Mytilus edulis: one gene and its partner. The protein of the gene in region 1 interacts with the protein of each later gene in a pairwise test. Links are inferred from orthologs where the notes say so. Each region holds a gene or a part of one and is shown on either strand. Other genes may lie near its edges. The genes, in order: pleckstrin homology domain-containing family F member 2-like and protein SREK1IP1-like.

The links.
Region 2: the proteins of pleckstrin homology domain-containing family F member 2-like (region 1) and protein SREK1IP1-like interact in a two-hybrid assay, tested with the Caenorhabditis elegans proteins (2 studies listed by BioGRID). The link is inferred for Mytilus edulis from reciprocal best matches to the Caenorhabditis elegans genes ZK632.12 and C13F10.7.

Annotation. Positions count from the first base shown.
Region 1 is NC_092350.1:31,052,246-31,061,619, forward strand, and holds the start of pleckstrin homology domain-containing family F member 2-like, read left to right. Parts: upstream 1-5,611; 5' UTR 5,612-5,666; coding exon 5,667-5,715; intron 5,716-9,374. Other genes in the region: ribonuclease kappa-A-like, read right to left, coding at 3,278-3,409.
Region 2 is NC_092344.1:100,220,035-100,229,606, forward strand, and holds the start of protein SREK1IP1-like, read right to left. Parts: upstream 3,948-9,572; 5' UTR 3,865-3,947; coding exon 3,858-3,864; intron 2,448-3,857; coding exon 2,382-2,447; intron 1-2,381. Other genes in the region: spliceosome-associated protein CWC27 homolog, read left to right, coding at 4,182-4,223, 7,099-7,308, 7,992-8,135, 9,021-9,119.

The DNA of each region.
Region 1 (9,374 bases):
GCATGATTTGGAAACACAATTCAGTGGCGGATCCAGCCATTTTAAAAAGGGGGGGTTCCCAACCCAGAGTAAAGAGGGGGTTCCAACTATATGCTCCTATTCAAATGCATTGATCGGCCAAAAAAAAGGGGGGTTCCAACCGCCGGAACCCCCCCCCCTGGATCCGCCACTGACAATTTGAACCGCCAATTTTCTTAATCATGTTAATATGAAATGATGAAATTTTGCCAGAATTATTCATTATATCAGGAACCCTGGTAAAGTCACTACAGCAAATCATTCATCATGGTCCTTGTTAGAGTGCCATCTAATTAATAAAGTCATAATCAGATTTTTCAATTGTGATGTGCCAAAATGTATAAATTACTACAATACTTAGAGAAACAGAAACTCTATCATGTCTAACCACAGTAGGCAGATTCGGATTTTGTAAAGACTTACATACATGTGAAACTCAGGATCCCGAAGGGAGTACAATAATCCCATTTTCTACGATGTTTAGAACTGTCTTTGATGACATTAAACATGTTAAAAAAAGAGTGTAGCAAACATATCCTGTATAATACAGACAATATGTACCAGATTATGAAATTGCAATAGATTTTAACTTGGATGGCAGCTAATTAACAAGTGATAATAGTTTGATTAAACAATAAACAGGTAATATGTATCAATAATTTGATCTGTCTTCTGTTTATGGCACTTGTCAGGGATGATTAAAAGTAAATTCATAGTTGTAGTTTATAGTGCGTTTGCCCTGTGACTACTATTTAAGTATTCTCAGATTTGGCGATATTCAATACATGTATTCTCTAGATCATATCAGAAGTCATAACAACATGGAAATATTTCCAGGTCTTGATTTTGGACAACGGTTGTTTTATTTCGTTGGACACTTAACCTTGTGGATAAAGTCATCCACGAAAGCCACAAAAATTTGTTCCACACGAATAAAAATACTTTCACAGTAATACATTTTTTATTAACCATGATAAATCAATGAGACGAAGCTTTTAAGTGATAAACTTAGCTGTAATAACAAGGCTTAGTTATTAAAAGAATGTAACTTATTATATGAGACACTTGCAATTGGGAATTACTGGAAAGCTTGGGCAGAACCTCATTACATGCTCTGGTCATTATTTCTTAAAATAAAATACATTGGTAAGTATGATCTATGTCTAAGGAAATGCCTTAAATTTAGAGTGATATAGACATGCATTGATAGAGAAGCTGTGACAACACCCTTCAGTTATTACAGACATATTTTACTATCATACATGATGGTGGGGCATAAAAAATAGTTGTTTGGTTAATGAAATGGACATGTCCACTGACAGTTGAGGTAGGGGGTTTGTGGTCTAGTGGTTAAGACCAATGGCTACAGTGCTGAAGGTACTGGATTCTATTCTGACTTGATGTGCTAGAAATTTCAGTGCATCACAATGGTGATTTTACCCTCCCACACACTTCTCTAGTAACCAGACGAGAGTTTAAACTAGACTAGGCATTTTAATTTGGGGCCTTGGTTGGTCAAGTATGTCCCCTTCTTTGACCTGGAGATCAATTTTCTGATATCTTTCAGGTTTGTCCAGACCTGCCAACTTTTGAAAATGACCATGGGGGATTCAGGGCGCGACCAAATTTTAAGGGTTACAATTTTTTCAGCATTTCTTTGTAAACTATTTTTTAGAAGTTAGAATTGGTCCGACCATAGATTTTCCGGTCCCTTCAGGTCTTTTCATTTCTCCCTTAAGCTTCAGGTCCAACTTTTGACATCAAAAATTTGTTTTTATTTTAAAAAGTTTAAATTTAAAACATTGTTAAATGAAATATGGATATTTGCAATTAGTAAAATTCCAACTTGAAGAAATTCCATCCAATAAAAAAAAAGTTATTGCAATTTGAATACTTTTAGTAGTATATTTTCAGGTCTTTTCAGGTCCACTTTCAGGTCTTTAGTGTAACCCCATCATTGATTCAGATCAGTAAGACTGGTTTCCAGAATAGTATACCTTTTATCTGTTAAAAAGTACCTGACAATGAACCAGTTATAAATTATCGATTGCAAGTTAACATGTTGAAGAAAAAGGTTTTGCATTTGAATAAACATGATAAACAGAATACAGAAACATGTCAAATTAATATTTGTTTTCTTGTTTTTTGTTTATAATAAATTACTTTGTTCATCAAAGTTGGATTAAATTTATTTTCTGCAGAATAATTGTACTTGTTCCGACGGACAAGCTTGATACAGCTTTTAAATTTTAAATGGATTTCAGAATAAACGCTGCTTTCTTATGAGTTAATCACAGTTTTCGTCTTTCAGTTAATTACGATTGTGTCATGAAACTACGGTTAACGTTGCAAATTTGTGATTGTATGATGATGAAATGCCGACTGACCGATTCTGTTTACAAATTATGATTAATTTAAAAGATTTTTATGACCAATCAGATAAGAGGATTACTTGAAACAAACAAATAATGACACCTGTTGTGATTGGTGATAAGTGTGGGGTCATAAATATGTCGCCAGGTAAAATTATAGATTTATGGAAATTGATCAGAAAAACTTCAAAATCATTAACTAATATTATTTTTTAGGTAAATTTGGTGAAAATCAAGTTTATGGCTTGTTTTACGATCCCGATATCGGGATTCAGGTTAAGGCATGAAAATTGGGACGATACCGCCAAAATCAGGAAAGTTGGCAGGTCTGTTTGTCTGTTTCCATCGAGTGGCCCTATGGTTCTCTCCAAGTACTTTGACTTCCTCCACATAATACCAGGCTTCCTGGTGTCCTTGCCCTCCGTTTGTGTTGGGTGGGGATGGATTGTCCTTATAAAAAATTGTTATTATACGATAGTGACACATCTAAATTAATCCCTATAGGGAGTGTACATGGATTCCATTGTACCCTCCCAGCTTTCGAGGGGTTCTTTGAGGAATTTACCAGTTCATACATACATAAGCATGATAAGGAAGATATCATGATATTATTATATTATATGGCAGTCTGTCGTCTGAATCTGAGTAAGTACGCTGCAGGGCTAGTTGCATAGGCACTTGTTTCTATCCATGGAAGGACCCACTATCAACGTAAATATACGTTGATATTGGGTCTTCCAATGGATAGAAACAAGTGCCTGTAAGTTTATGGTTTCAATGCCAACGGGATGCACGCACGAAGATTTCAGTTTCAAACTGGTTTAGCATTTGTTTACATTAATTTTTTTTTCAATTTTGATTATCAACGACTTTACTCAAATACTAACCAACATAACAACACCCCAAATACTAAGTACTGTACAACAAATGGACAGCTTTGGTCCACAAATAGGACACGAAACCATTTTCAAGTTAGTTTGTCGATTATCATATGATTTGATAGGCGTGGTGATCCACATGCAAATTAATATATTTTTATTTCTATTTCACCGGGAAAAATATTTTATATATCAAATGAACGACTATGAAATCAAGGATGAACAAACAATTGAAAATTCAATATTTGAAGCAACGATTTTGATGAAATCTAATTATTTTTCTTCCAAAATTTTGGATCATAATACTACTCGAACGAAATGACGGATGTGGTTATGTCTCCATTACGGAACGGATCTTTTAACATGTTTAACCAGTTTATAAGTCCTTATAACAAGAAGTGGCTATTTAATTTTGCCGGCTCCTGCAAAATATTCTCTTATAGGTGCTTTTCTATCGGCTGTGAGAAAATAGCGATTTGTACAGAGACATGGCAGGGCCGTAACTACCTTGAGGCAAATGAGGCAAATGCCTCATGCTAGAAATTAAAAAAAAAAAAAATTAAACAAAAGATTGTTTTAAAATCAAATTGTTTTCACGGAAAGTGTCTAACAAGAAGCAAGTTCTCTTCGCTCTCTGGTGTCGCCCCTGCATGTTTTCCGTGATCCATGTTTCTTTTTTACTTTGAGTTTTCATAGTTGACAGTCTATTGTTTGAACTTCTGTGTCCCGAGTTTGTCTTTTGCTCATTTATTGTCCTACTTTATCACAATAGTCTGAGTGTTGATTTTCATTTGTAAGCGTGCGGTTTTGCAATGTTGCATGCCCACCGATGTCCAGATATTGTGCGAGAAAATGTTTTAAGAATATACAAGACACAGAAAAAAATTGTCGTTTCTGCATGGAGAATTGAATTTGATATCAAAGAATTCACAACTGGTTTCTTTTCGTTGATAAAACTAGATAGCTGACATGGTTTAAATTAAAGTTAGGTCACCAATTTTCCAGTATCAAATTATTTGAAAAAAAAAACAGTAATGTATTGCCATATGACCATTTCCACTGATGGGTTAAACTTGCATTAAGTAATGTTCAGACCCTTTTACAGAAAACAAAGGAATATGGAGTAAATGTACACGAAACCTAATCGCACACAAAGTCAATGCATAAAAAAATACTAATGATCAATCAATTGGTCAAAGTTGCTGGAGGGTCTTCAAAAAATAAAAGAATCATTAATACCGTAAAACAGGGTCAAGATGGTCCCGAGTGTCGACTTAAGCAGTACTAGTATTTAAAGCATAATACTGCACTGTCACTATATTTCAATCTAGTCATAAAAATATCACCAAAGTCTAAGCACAATACAAGACTAAATCAGACAATCAGACAGAGAGATCCGGAATTAATGATTTTGAGAATTACGAATTTTGCTTTGTCCTATATATCGGTCTTTTAATGTTGTCCATAAAATCTTAAAGTCTTAAATTACAATGAATCTATGTTTTTGCTTTCAGACCAATATATTGTTGAAAAAAAGCTAAAAAATTAATTGCGTTTCAATGTCAGAAAGAGTGCGGGAAACGCTCAGAATGCACGATTTTGCGTTATTTTTCTCAGAGCTTCTGGGGGCCTTGAGCCCTCGCCAAATTTTTTTTGCCTCGCTCCGCTTGGAAAACACTGTGCTCTTCTCTGATCCAATATGTTATTTTGACTATAAGTATGCTGATCTGAAGGTAATTATCAAAACAAATGAAAAATAAACTTCAAGTGGCACAAACTGAGACTGTGAGATTTTTTCTGAAGCTACATTCCTGAAACGGAGTGTAACATATATATACATTGAATTTGAGAAATAGTTCTTTTTTTAATATCAGGAATAGAGTCAAACAACTAAGTCTCAATCATGTTTTCTATATTTAAAGCAATATATGCACAAATTATTTGCATATAGTTATTACTTATTTTGTTAGAAATAAAACATTCAATACAAGATCTAGTATATGATAGTAAAAACTTTCATATACTAGGAAATAAAGGGTGTGAATCCACCACCGCCTTATTTGGTGTAAAGAAAGACTGGAATTCGCTACCAGAAACGAATTACAATTGCTCTGAATAAATATAATTTCAGTGAAGTACAAGTCAGCGAAAAAAAATTTGATGGACAAATTTAAAGCCATCTTTAACAGTGATTTTGTTTTATCAATTATGCTGAGGCTTTAATTTTTGTTTGTATTTCTACGTGTCAATCTTTGGTGTTAACTCAAAGTCTCGTCATAAAAAGGCCCCGCTGGAAATAAGGTATCTTCTTTTTTGTATTCATAGAAACTTTCCGAATTTTGTACATTCTCTTTCACGTCGACTGATTTTATTTTAGACGTCTCGATAGATTTTTCATATGTTGCACATCGTTGAGCTGTCATTTGTCAACATGGTAGACCGATTGGGTGGGTTGCTACTTAGAAATATTGCTCACTGTTATTCAGAAGTCCGGAAGAATAATAAATTGATTGTTAGGAAGCAGTTTTACAAAGTTTTTGAATTCGCGATGATGAATTATATCGATTATCGTAAAATTAGCATTCAAACAATGATTTTTATATATAGAACAGTTAAGAGTTTAGTTTCACTTTATCATGTTTATAAATAAGATAAGAATACCGATCCGAGACCTAGACTATGAATACTGCATCATTTTCAAGTGATCTCCCCAGAATTATTATTTTTCTAATATGTTTTTTATGTATATAACATACTGTGTACATAAAATACTTAATGGTATTACAGCAAGTACATTTTAAAATAAACAATAAATAGATAAAATCTAGACGACAGGGAAGGAGTGTTTTAAAACAATTCTAGGAAGTACATGTATTAATTTCAGTTTCTGTATAGTAAACTTCCCATTAATTACTATAACAATATGACACATACATGTACATTGTACATTCATGACACATCAAAGTGTTCGTTTTGTTCAGAAACTGGAATTTAAAACAATATGCAATGTTAAAGTGGAGCATTCATGCACTGAAAACTTTTGAATCAAGTAGGATTTTCATTTATTAAAGCAACTTAAATATTTTTTATTTATCAATTCAACTGTTTTTCCAATTTTTCTAAAGTACATGTATGGTGTTTAAATTTTGATATTGTATCATGTTTGTAATGATTGTCATGTTTGGCTTGGTAACAATCCAACATTAGGATTTTACACCAATAAAATGATTTGATTTGTATGGTGGTGTTTAATATTTTTTCTTGCTGACAATACCAAACAATTGTTTTGTTCTAAAACATTATAATAAATAAATAAATAAATAATTATTTTATTATAGTGTCACATATTGATTGACAATTATTACAAATCACAGTATTCAATAAAACAATCAATACCCAGTCATAAATTTGACTTATGAGACACTTAACACATGTTATATACAAATTAATATAGTTTCACGGTAAAATTCATAAAATTATCATAAAAAAAGATAAAACATATTTATGCATTTAAAAGCATATATACTTGTCTGAGTAAAAAAATAAAAATCTAAAAAGAATGCTGTTTAAAAAGTATGGAAATACTTAACGTGCTTAAAGTAAAAAAGAATAAAAAATATATTTTAAGTTTTGAAATAATTTTATCTAAAAATTAACAATTTGCATATCTACATGTAATTATATTATCATAAATTAATCGCAGTGACTTTAAAATCATAAAATAGACTTTTACAACTAGTATGTTATTAGTAATAATTAAGAAAATAATTTTCGTCTCATAAAACTCTTGTGTAAACATTTGCTTAAACATTTTTTAATATCAGCAGCAGTCCTTTTGCGCCAATTACTGTTTTTCAGGGGTATCATTTGCGCCAAATTTTATTTTCAAAATGTATCAATTGCGCCAATATTCGGAACTCATTTGCATCAATTTACCTGTACATATATCTATCATAAATATTAATGATAACTATATATGTATTCTTATTTTTGCCCCAAAAGGTATCACATGTTAGGAGATATTTCACCATAAAGACGAGTTTCTGAAGAGAATTAAATGACTTAAGCAGCATTAGACAGTCAATGTACAGAGAGAGAATAAAACTTATTGTTTTGCTTAACACAGATATGCCAATATAGAAAATAGAAGTTTTTGCTCTTTATGTTTTAGCCACAAATGTTGATGACACAGAGCTTTGTTCCCACCATGCGTATGGGCTTTATTATTATTATGAACTATTATTAACTATTTTATGGATTTCATCCTTCAATGTTTGTGTTTTTGGACAATAAAAAGAAGTTAAAAGCTACTACATACATTAAATTGGGAAGTACCCATGCAGCAGCAGTAATAAAAACATATGTTTCAGAAAAGGAAACATGTGCCGTGTTACACTGCCGGTTCCAAGCTTAAGTCCGAATAAAGGAGTAAGGAAGTAATTTTCTTTTAACTGGCGCAATCGTATGTTTTATTTTTGGCGCAAATGAAACCATCTAATTTTAAAACATGTGGGGCAAACGTAGCATTTGAGAAAAAAAGTTGTGGCGCAAAAGGAAGCATTTTTGGCGCAAACGGATCTCTCCCTGAATATCACATTTCATTATTTCAACAAGTTTGACATCATCATTTAACATTGAGAAATTGTCAATATATTTTGAACATTCGACCAACAGTTCAAACCTAATGTCTTCATATAAGGAACATTTTAAAAGAAAATGTTTTTCAGATTCAACACTATTTAAGCATGTTAAGGAACAAAATTTACAAAGTCTATTTTCTAGTGCTGTAGGCGGCCTGGTGTACCTGCCAGTCTCGATGGCTAACGGTGTCGGCGCGGAACAAGGCTAGAGTACGTCTGTACGAGCGTGGTATAATTTGGAGAACGTATGTCTCGGCAAAATTGTTAGTTTTGAATAACCTGTACATTCGAAGTTTGTTGCCATTTTGATGTCTACGATCATTGAAAAGTTCACTTTGCCATTCGGTATTATCTAAAACCTTTATTTTGTCGGTCACAAACTTCATAACTGTTTTCGTAGATAATGATAGATCGTTTACGGTGTTTCAAATGTTTAATAACTTGGTAAATTTATCCACATTGCGGCACCAACCGTTGCGTCTTCCTGAGGCCCACTTCCATATTTTGAACACATTCCTATTTTCGTCTGTTCTTATTATTTTACACAAAAGTCTGATCCATGATATACGCTGCTTATTTCAACATGAAATCCACCCCATGTCGCCTATACATGTAAGTCTGCCAGGTTTCATGTACCTTATATTTATTAATCTTTCTCACTCAATTAATGTTTTAAGATTTAAAAATATAATGCAGGTGCTGTTCATGGCATTAAAATTCCTGAAATTTTAAGAAAAAAGGTTGTTTTAAATTAATGATCAGGGTTAGGATTGTCATTTTTGTGAAAATTTGTAAATTACTATACACTACGTACATGTAAGTATTTCGTTAAAAATTAACAAATTTTGCAAAAAGATGTTTCTGCTGTTTCGCCCTAAATGTAGAAAGAAAAGGCCCTAATTATATATAATGTCATTATGTACACTGTAAGACAAAATTGAAAAATATGAAAGTCAAAACTGATATCTGACAAAGTAGTTTGTATTGAACATCTGAATGATGGAATTTGTCAGATTTAAAACACTTTTTGATTTTCTGAATGAACATGCCAAAAAGTAGCCTAATTATCATATAATATTCTCCATAATGACACCACAGGAACATGAATTGCTTTGTACAAATGTATGTGAATCACACTAAAAAATGAAAGCATGGAGGGTCCATGCTGACATGTTAGTGTAAACTTTTCTAGTTTTTACTTTAATGTGTACTTTTAATTTGAGATTTTACAAAAAAAAAAATGTATATAAAATATTAGAGACATAGATCACCTTTGATATACATGTACATGTATAAACATCTGATCAGAAAATGTATTATATTATGTGCAATGCAAAGCTTTCAAACGAGGAAACACATTTAGCCCTTGTTTATTTGTACATCACAACACCTTGCGCATGTAGCGTGTATGATACTTTTTTTACATTCAATACTTGTATAACTAATACAATGTAAAAACGAGAAAT
Region 2 (9,572 bases), on another chromosome or scaffold:
AGCTTTGCAATTTTCAATTATCAAAACGTTTAATGACTCACTGCCCAAATTAGAACTTAGTCTGCATGTTAAATAAAAACTTACCTAGAGTGAGTAAATTAAAATATTTACAATTTTCCAAAGTATAAAGGGGTATAACTCTAGAAAGGTTAATGAAATATTGCCAGAATTTAAACTCTGCGTGTTGTGGTTTTCAGCAATGATCAGCAATACCTTTAGTCCAGTCAAACTAAGTTTGAACCTCAAACTAATTGCAACAGAAAATGCTTTAATTCTAATCTATAGCATTTAGCCCCAAATATATACAGAAAGAAGTCCCATAAAATCTAATTTGAGGAAAACTCAAATTTTGCATTTTTAATTTCTTATAGAAATTAACATTGGAAAGGGAGATAACTCAGCAAAAATGAGACTTTTATGTCAGTTTTTGTTTGATTTTCTTAAAATTCATGTAATATATGATACTTTGATGGAGTTATAACTTCGTATTTGACTATATTATATAATCTTCTGCTCATGAAATGTACAAAACCGAAGTGCTATGCATATTTTTTTAATTCTTTTTGCACATTTTCATTAAAAAAATTGCAAATTTATGGCCTAGTGACCATTTTGAAAAAATGAATATTTGGTATTATTTCTATCTGTAAATTATATTTGTTCAGCATCTACCTTGTTCATAGAAACTTTAAACCACAAAAAGAGGAATATATGCTTAATTAGTTTTATTATTCAATTTGAGATTCTTTACCTTAACATGCTGAAAAATCTAATAAATGGTCAACTATTTAATTATGAAGTCTAGGTTCTAGCTTGATAAAAGATATGATAATACCTTAAGAGTTCTTTGTTATACTCTAAAGATGACTCAAATATCAAGAATCAATACATTCTGTTGAATAGAAGCGGTAAAGTTATAACTTTTTATCAATCTTTATTGATATTTCTGCATTTTTGCAGAGTTATCTCCCATATGAACGCAAATCTCCATAGGAATTTTAAAATCATGATTTTTTAGTTTTCCACAAGTTATATTTTATAGGACTTTTTTCTGTGTATATTTGGGGTATAATGCTAAAGATTAAAACTTATGTATGCTAGATTGACTGGACTACCAATGATTTTCTTAAAATTTGGATGAGGCAAACTTAAGTTAGAGTGCGAACATGAACAGACTTGCATTTCCAAGTTATACTTATAAAAGGGCATAACTAACTGTAAATGACTCTGTGATCAAATTTGATCTCTGTCTGCCACTTTTGGTTTTTAGCACCATGTATGACTTTCAGAAAGTTTGGATGAGGAAAACATAACCAAGAGTGGTAAAACAAAAATGGGTCAGACAAAAGGACTGACAGATGGACAGAGGGATAGTCAAGGGTAACAATTAATGCCCATGTTGCCTACGGTTGAGGCATAAAAAGAAAACATAATTATACTTAAAGGAATAGGAATGAAATAGTCATGGCTGGTAAAAGATTTCCATTACACTGCACGTCTTATGATACGGAAATAAGAATGCTATAATGTCTCAACTGCTCAATTAACTATTTTTTCTATATAATAGCTCAATAGAAGTAAGTAGACAGTTATTTAGATAAAAAAAAAATCATTCAATTTTAATAAAAATTAAATAATGCCTGAATATTTTAAAACAAGAATGTGTCCTCAGTCCACGAAAGCCCCACTCGCACTATCATTTTCCATGTTCAGTGGACCGTGAAATTGGGGTAAAAACTCTAATTTGGCATTAAAATTAGAAAGATCATATCATAGGGGACATGTGTACTAAGTTTGAAGTCGATTGGACTTAAACTTCATCAAAAACTACCTTGACCAAAAACTTTAACCTGAAGCGGGACAGACGGACGGACACACAGACCAGAAAACATAATGCCCCTCTACTATCGTAGGTGGGGCATAAAAAATAAACCAGAACAATCCACATTGTCAATTAAAGACTTGTGAATTGAGATGTCGCAAGTGGGAGCAGTGTGACAAATTAAAAACAAAGATCATGCAAGTGAGGAATGTATATAGCAATAAACAAACTACATTATTTCATGATTATCATGAAGTTTTAAAAGATATAGTAACTTGCCTATGCTGTTAAATGGTACACAGCTGAATACTGTGAATTTATTTATTTTTGTTGATACTATAGTAAAAATAATATATAGTGGTATTTGATTTCAAGGTTTTTGCAATGTCTTATTACAAGCCTTTAGAATATTTGTACTTTGTTAAACATGAAAAAGTTTGTTTTACCAATACCAAGGATTAGTTTACAAATCCTTGCATTTACCCACAAATTCCATAAAATTTGGTATCCCATATAAAGACTCTTCAGTATTAAATACAATACAATCTGCTATACATACCATATCCACATTTTTTACAGGCTGGTTTAAGTCCATCATTTTTATTGGTGTATTTGCTGCCTATGCCTAAAAGTTTTAAAAAAAATAATGTTGATAAGGCATCAGTCATGTCAGTCAAAGATTAAAATCAAATAATAAGACCTAAAAGATTGGAATATCTTGCCTGCTATTTATTATTGAAAACCCGAAGGGACTTCTTTCAACATGTTAATAGAGATTTTATTTGTCGATAGATTATATCATTATTTTATAATAAAAAAAAAATATCTTGCTTCACTTTTGATGATTTTTCAAATACCCGCAAAGTTGTTATAATGTATGTGACCTCATGGATTAGAAAATACTTTTAAATAAAATTCATCTGTTAGACAATAATGATAGGACATTAACTTAAGCATAATAAATTAAATACATGTAACACATAGTGAGAGGATGATAGAGCAGATTGGTAACCCTCAAAAAAGCATTGTCAATCTTGGCTTGGTAGTGATTGACACTGTATTCTTTGGTAACAATCTGTCATTGGATGCCAAATTGACTTTAAATGGGTGCCTATTTTTAACCAGATGTCGATTTAACAAGGTGCCAATTTGACTTTTTCTGTGGGTGCTGATTTAACTTTTAGTTGTATCCCAATCTGCTCTATCGTCCAATGTTTTATTTATATATGGCAGTGTCTGCGCCTGTCTGCGAGTACCTGCATACGGATACACTTAGCCAAATTGGCCTTTTTAGGCTATGTGTACCCGCAACCGATTTTATAAGAAAGTGTCATATGATTGGGAAAGCAACGTGAAAGATACACAAAAATTATTGGTTATTTTTCTGATTTTGTGAATTCTGTGAAGATAATAGCAAATAATATTTTTTAAATTGTTTTTAATGTATTAGTTAGAAAAATAGAAATCAAATATAAATGCATATTTTTACGAAAGTGTATCACGGTACGTCGTAAAATAATAATAGGCGTAGAACTTTTTTTTTCATATATATTGACATTTCAAATCTTAAAATCTCTGTGAGTAATCAATTTATTCTCTCACTTATTGCGATGTTTTCTGAGTTAATTTTACAATTTATTCCTGATCCGATGACATTAAATTATAAAACTGGAGGCGGGTGTGCGTAGCCGTAGCCTACAAAGGCCAATTTGGCTACGCATACCTCACATGCAGGTACGTACATACACTACCTATTCATATACTCATTATTACTGTCATCTGCGAAGAGTCGGATTTTACTATGTTGGATGTATTTTGGGAGGTCGTTTATGTAAATTAGAATAGTATTGGTCCTAGCACTGTACCCAGTGTGACACCTGATCATGTGACTGGTATAATTTTTAAAGATGACTCTTTCTAAAAGTACTGACTACTGTTTTTGTTTGTGTTCTGTTTGACAAAAATGATTCAATCCAGTTTATTATTTGATTCCTGTCATGAACAAGTTGTATCAAATTTGTCTTTCTTTGTTTACCTTGCATTGTGTCATAAATCGTAAAACTGCGGAATGGTCTAAATTTTTTGGTTAGGTACCTAAGGGAGATAATCTGGTATCATTCAAGTCAAAACTAAAAGAAAATCAACATTAACTTTCCATGATTATTACGAAATTACATTCTGTTTAAAAAATCCCATAAATAATCAAATATAATGAATATTATGAATTTGAATATGAAATTCTTAGTTTATTATACAAATACATCATTTACTATTTTATCTTTTAGTTAGACCTAAACAAAATGGCTGCGCCCATTGACATTTCAAATTAATGGTCTAGTTTGTTTTTGTTTGACAGGCTATGAGCAATATTTATATACAAGAACCGCCTACGAGCGGAAAGGTAGAAAATTAGTGTTTTACTTTGCTGTTTAAAAAAAAAGTAAACAGTCTTGCTATATTATAACTCCAGCAGACAGTTGACAATATCAATAACAACAGCTGTTTTACTATCTTTCTATCTGTATATTTTAAGCCAATGAATTTTACTGACACCTCATCTTGGAATGTCTTCTTCTTCTTCTCCTTCTTCTTTAGTTACAGAAAACCATCAACATTTTGAAGATTACATTCTGGTGCATGCTTGATTGAGGTTCTTCTTCTTCTTCCAGGTAAGGAACCAGATTCATTGCTGAATGTTAATGGTTCCGCACGAAAACTTTACGCAGTGTCGGGCAACACAGAAAGATTTCTCTTGGCTATTTACAAATTACATTTAAAACGTTCGCAGAAAAATATACAATTAAAATTATTTACAACTGGTTTTCCTACTTCCTTTCAGAGCATGCCTTCAGGGCAGCTCTGAATCCCTCAACGGTGTTGGTCGCTGTAACTGTCGTTGGTAGGTTGTTCCAGTCCCTGATTGTCCTCGGGAAGAAAGATTGGCCGTAGGTGTCTGTACTTGTTCTTTCTTGGAAGAAGCGGTTTTTACCTCTGGTCCGGTTATCATTCGGTGTCAAATATTTGTGACGGTCTATATCTATAAGTTCATGCTGGATCTTGAATAGCATGCACAATCTATTTGTTTTCCTCCGTTCTTCGAGGCTTTCCCACTTTAGATTTTTAACCATATTTGTGACACAGCCAGGTGTTCGGTCTGTGTAGTTGTTATTCACAAATTCGTGCAGCTCTTTTCTGAACCTGTTCAATTGCCTTGATTTTATTTTGAGCGGTTGGGTCCCATACTGTGCTTGCATATTCCACTGCAGGTCTTACCATGGACACATATGCAGCTGCCTTTACAGGTTTTGTACAGCCTTTGAGGTTTCTACGTATAAACCCCAAAGTTCTGTTTCCTTTGCCTACTGTATTGTCTATGTGTTTATCCCATGTTAGGTTGTTACTGATGGTTACTCCAAGATATTTACTTGCTTCCTCTGGTTGCCTTTTAAAGTTTTTAAAAATTTTGTCATCATGGTCATAATGCAATTTCTCATTGTATAATAATTGCATAATGACAAGGAGAAAAATTAGAATAGTTTTACAGTTCTGCCAACTTTTCGTGAAGCAAATGTGTAAGATTTTGTCAAAATTGAAAAGATCAAAGAGAAAAAACAATACATGTAGATCAAAAGAAAATGCCAAAAAAAAAAGCACACACATGCGTGAGACTTGGCAGGTTTTATATATACATGTATTATAAAAAAAATAAAATTTATTTAGGTGTCCATGTTTTAATTTATGCAAGCTTCTCCTCATTGTTGTATCTTTTTCAAATAAAAGATCAAATATTTGACAAGGTTATATTTGTCTTCAAATTTCAATGGGACCTGAATGTAACGGTCATCTTGTCGTGATGTCATATACATTTTGTATCAGATGACGTCGTGTTTGGACATCTGAGGTCACAAACATCCAGCGGTCGTATTTTCTGGCACATGAAATGCAACCTTGAAAAACAACTGGCAGTAAGAGGGTTAACAATTGACAGGAACATATAAATTGATACAGGTTCCAATTTTTGCCATTTAACTGACTTAAAATTATTCAAGGTCTTTGCCGTCACTGTTAAATCAGACCGGTTATTCCACTGATCCACTACTCTAATTGAAAAAGTATTTAGTCTATGTCAGTATGTGTTGTCTTACAATGTTTCTTAAAAAGTTTTTTAAGGAGTGACCTTTCGTATACATTTTGTAACATTATAATAAGATGGTGATTAAGTAAATAAGCTCAATGAACGTAACCTATCTTCAAAACTTAAATGATTTATGTTCTTGACGAGTTAAGTGGTCTTTCTTTGGACAGATTCAAATTTACAAATATTTTTTTAAGAGTGGCGACACCTGTAGCATATTCCAACTTTTGTTTTTAAATCGGTTCTCATTAATTCAAAATTTTAGAATGTACCAATACATGATCTTCAAAATGGAGATATTCTATTTGTTAATATTTATTTCTAATTATCCTACCTGATAGCATAATAAGAGGTTCTTTTTCCTGGAAAAATTTGATTTCTAACAGCAAATACCTTTGACTTGTTTCATTTGAACAACAACAAGATAAAAATGTCTCTAGTGTAAAAAGAATTGAAAATACTTTTTCATTATTGAATAAACAACTTGGTACACTTGAACAATCATTAATGACATTATAATGATATCATGCAATAAACGATTTCTGTCAGTGCAGGTTTTTCCATCACACTTGTGCTCATTGGTTGTAGAAGTTAATATAAACGGCTCATGGTTAAGGTCACTCCATACAGAAAAGCTGTAATCAAATTTGAGTATTGGAACACGACAATAAATAAATAGCAGTTAGCTATGACATGTACATGTATGAAGATTAGGATGTTCATTTACAAGAAAGTTTATGCACATATCATATGTTTTATAATAAAACTTTTCCATTCCATTCAAGTATTGAAAATATATTTTCATCTGTTACTTAGCGCATAACTACTTGAGCTAGTGAATATAATGTAGCTGAGAAAAAGAAAACATTAGTTAATGAAATTAGGTTTAATCAGAAGTATATCTCATCTAAGAATTGTGATAAAAGAAGGAGCACAAACCTTGTTCTTTGAGATAAGTAGATATAAAAAAGAAGGTTATTAGACTATATTACATGTACATGTACTTGTATGTGAAGCCTCATATAATTTTATGTTCAAACAATGTAGAAAAGCTTGCCTAGTTGAGAGTCTCAATGTTTAATCTGTTTCAACTTGATTCACATGAACATGACCATCTGTATTATGTTAAATCTATTTGTAGGTTCTATTAGATACAAGTGTAGGAGACATTGACATAGAATTATGGTCGAAGGAAGCCCCTAAAGCATGTCGAAACTTTGTTCAGTTGTGTATGGAGGGATATTATGAGGATACAATTTTCCATCGCATTATCAAGGATTTCATTGCACAAGGAGGGGACCCATCAGGCACTGGAGATGGTGGTGAATCTATTTATGGTCATCCATTTAAGGTAAAGTGTTTTACATCTTCAGTCAGTTTTACATATATATATTGAATAAAAACTGATTATTTCGTTTGTTTATTGTCAAATAGAGAATGTGTTTGGTATATAGATGCTTTAAAATTAAAAAAAACAACACATAATAGATAATGTTTTTCGTATAAATCAGTGGCAGATCCAGAACTTTTTGTAAGGGAGGGCCTGTTGACTGACCTAAAAAGGGGGGGGGGGGCTGGTCCAGTCATGCTTCAGTGATTCCCTATAAAACTGATTATTTCATTTGTTTATTGTCAAATAGAGAATGTGTTTGATATAGATGCTTTAAAATTTAAAAAAAACAAAAAAACACATAATTATAGATTAGGTTTTTAATATAAATTATAATGGTGTACAAATACTGATGAATTTACAAACATCATCAACTTTAAGTTTTATTTGCAAGATTTTGTGTATTAAAAGAATATAATCATGATAATCAAAAGGCGTTTTCAACATGTTACATACATGTATGTTGACTTTGTTTCCTTAAGATTGTTTCAGTAATCAACTAAATTAAAAACTTACATCGTACATGTTTCATGATATTAATATGTTTCATGTCACAATAAACATCATAAGGAAACAATATAAAACATATAATCTAACACTTGCCAACTGTTTTGTAATCAATAATGACTTTTGATTTGTTTCAGGATGAAATTCATTCAAGACTTCGTTTTGTTAGAAGAGGACTGGTTGCCATGGCAAATGCAGGGCCGAATGACAATGGTAGTCAGTTCTTTTTCACTTTGGACAAAACACCAGAGCTGCAAAGTAAACACACCATTTTTGGAAAAGTAAGATTTATTATACATGTAGTTTCTGTTTTGGGTTGTCAATAAAAGTTCTTAAAATACACAATTATGAATTATATGTGTACGCAAGCCTTAGTTTATTGGGGTTATATTTCCAGTTGATGTGTTAAAACAGATCATTGTCAGAAGAAGAGAAAATGCTTCTAAAGTCTAAAGATATTATAAATAATTTTCAATTTTCTTATTCTAACTCATTGAATGCATCTAATTTTGACATATTATTTCTTTTTAATGAAGAGAACAAAAAAAGCATGCAGATATAAACAAATAGCTTTACAGCAAAGATATTGCCACTGACAAAACTACAAATAGTTTATCTTAAAATTAAAAACATTAAAGAGTCATGATTATTAATTAACACTTCAATGGTCTATAGTAACATGTTATTCTCTAGTACAGGAAATTGTAGGAATTATCTAAGTTGGTTCAAATCAAGGACTATAGCAATATTATTTGCCTTCTTCACTAAACACATATCATTTCATATTAAAATTGACTTAGATTCAGAATAAAATGTCTAGATTAGTTACATGCCATTCTTTGGACTTACAACAAGGAGCTAGACCAATACAAATTTAAAATTAGTTTGTTTGATACAATGCAGAACATAATATGGCATGGAATAAAACATCATCTAAACATCTAGATCTATAGTTTTTTGTAATTAATATCTGTAGTAGTAACCAAGATGCTTGATATACAAAAATATGATCACTATGGCTTGTTCTTTTTTAGTTTAGTATTTACATCCTAGAGATTTAGCTTTTTACAATAGTCCTTTAATGGTATAGTATCTGTGTATTGCAGATAAGTCATCTTAAATTTTTATAGATAGCATTTAAATTTATTTATTTCTGTCATTTATAGGTTACTGGTAATACTGTATATAACATGATTAAACTAAATGATTGTGAAACAGACGGTACTGACAGACCATTATATCCACCAAAAATTAATAAAGCACAGGTAAATAATTTAAAATACTGAAACCAATGCTTTAAATAGACAAAACATAGATAGAAGGAATAAGAGAATAAGGAACCAGTTTCCCTAACTTACCTTTTATCAATGTCATATAAGAATGGCAACTGCACAACTAAATTAAGTATATGTACTCATGTCTCCTTCAGATGTTTGCAAAAAGTTCATTTTTCAAAGTACAGACTTTGTTTCCAACTTGATATTTTTTCCAATAGACAAAAAATCTTTCATTAGACATACTAACAATTGTCCCTGCCAACACAAAGCTAGAATGGTGGAGGAGCTGACATTATTTTTATCTTATTAGAGCATCTGATATTAAGGGCAAAACAATGTTTGTAAAGAAGGCAGACTTAGGAAAGTATAAAAATAAAAAATACTCAACTCTGAGTAAAATTCTATGGTAAACAGAAAGTCCCTAAAGCAAATGACAAAATC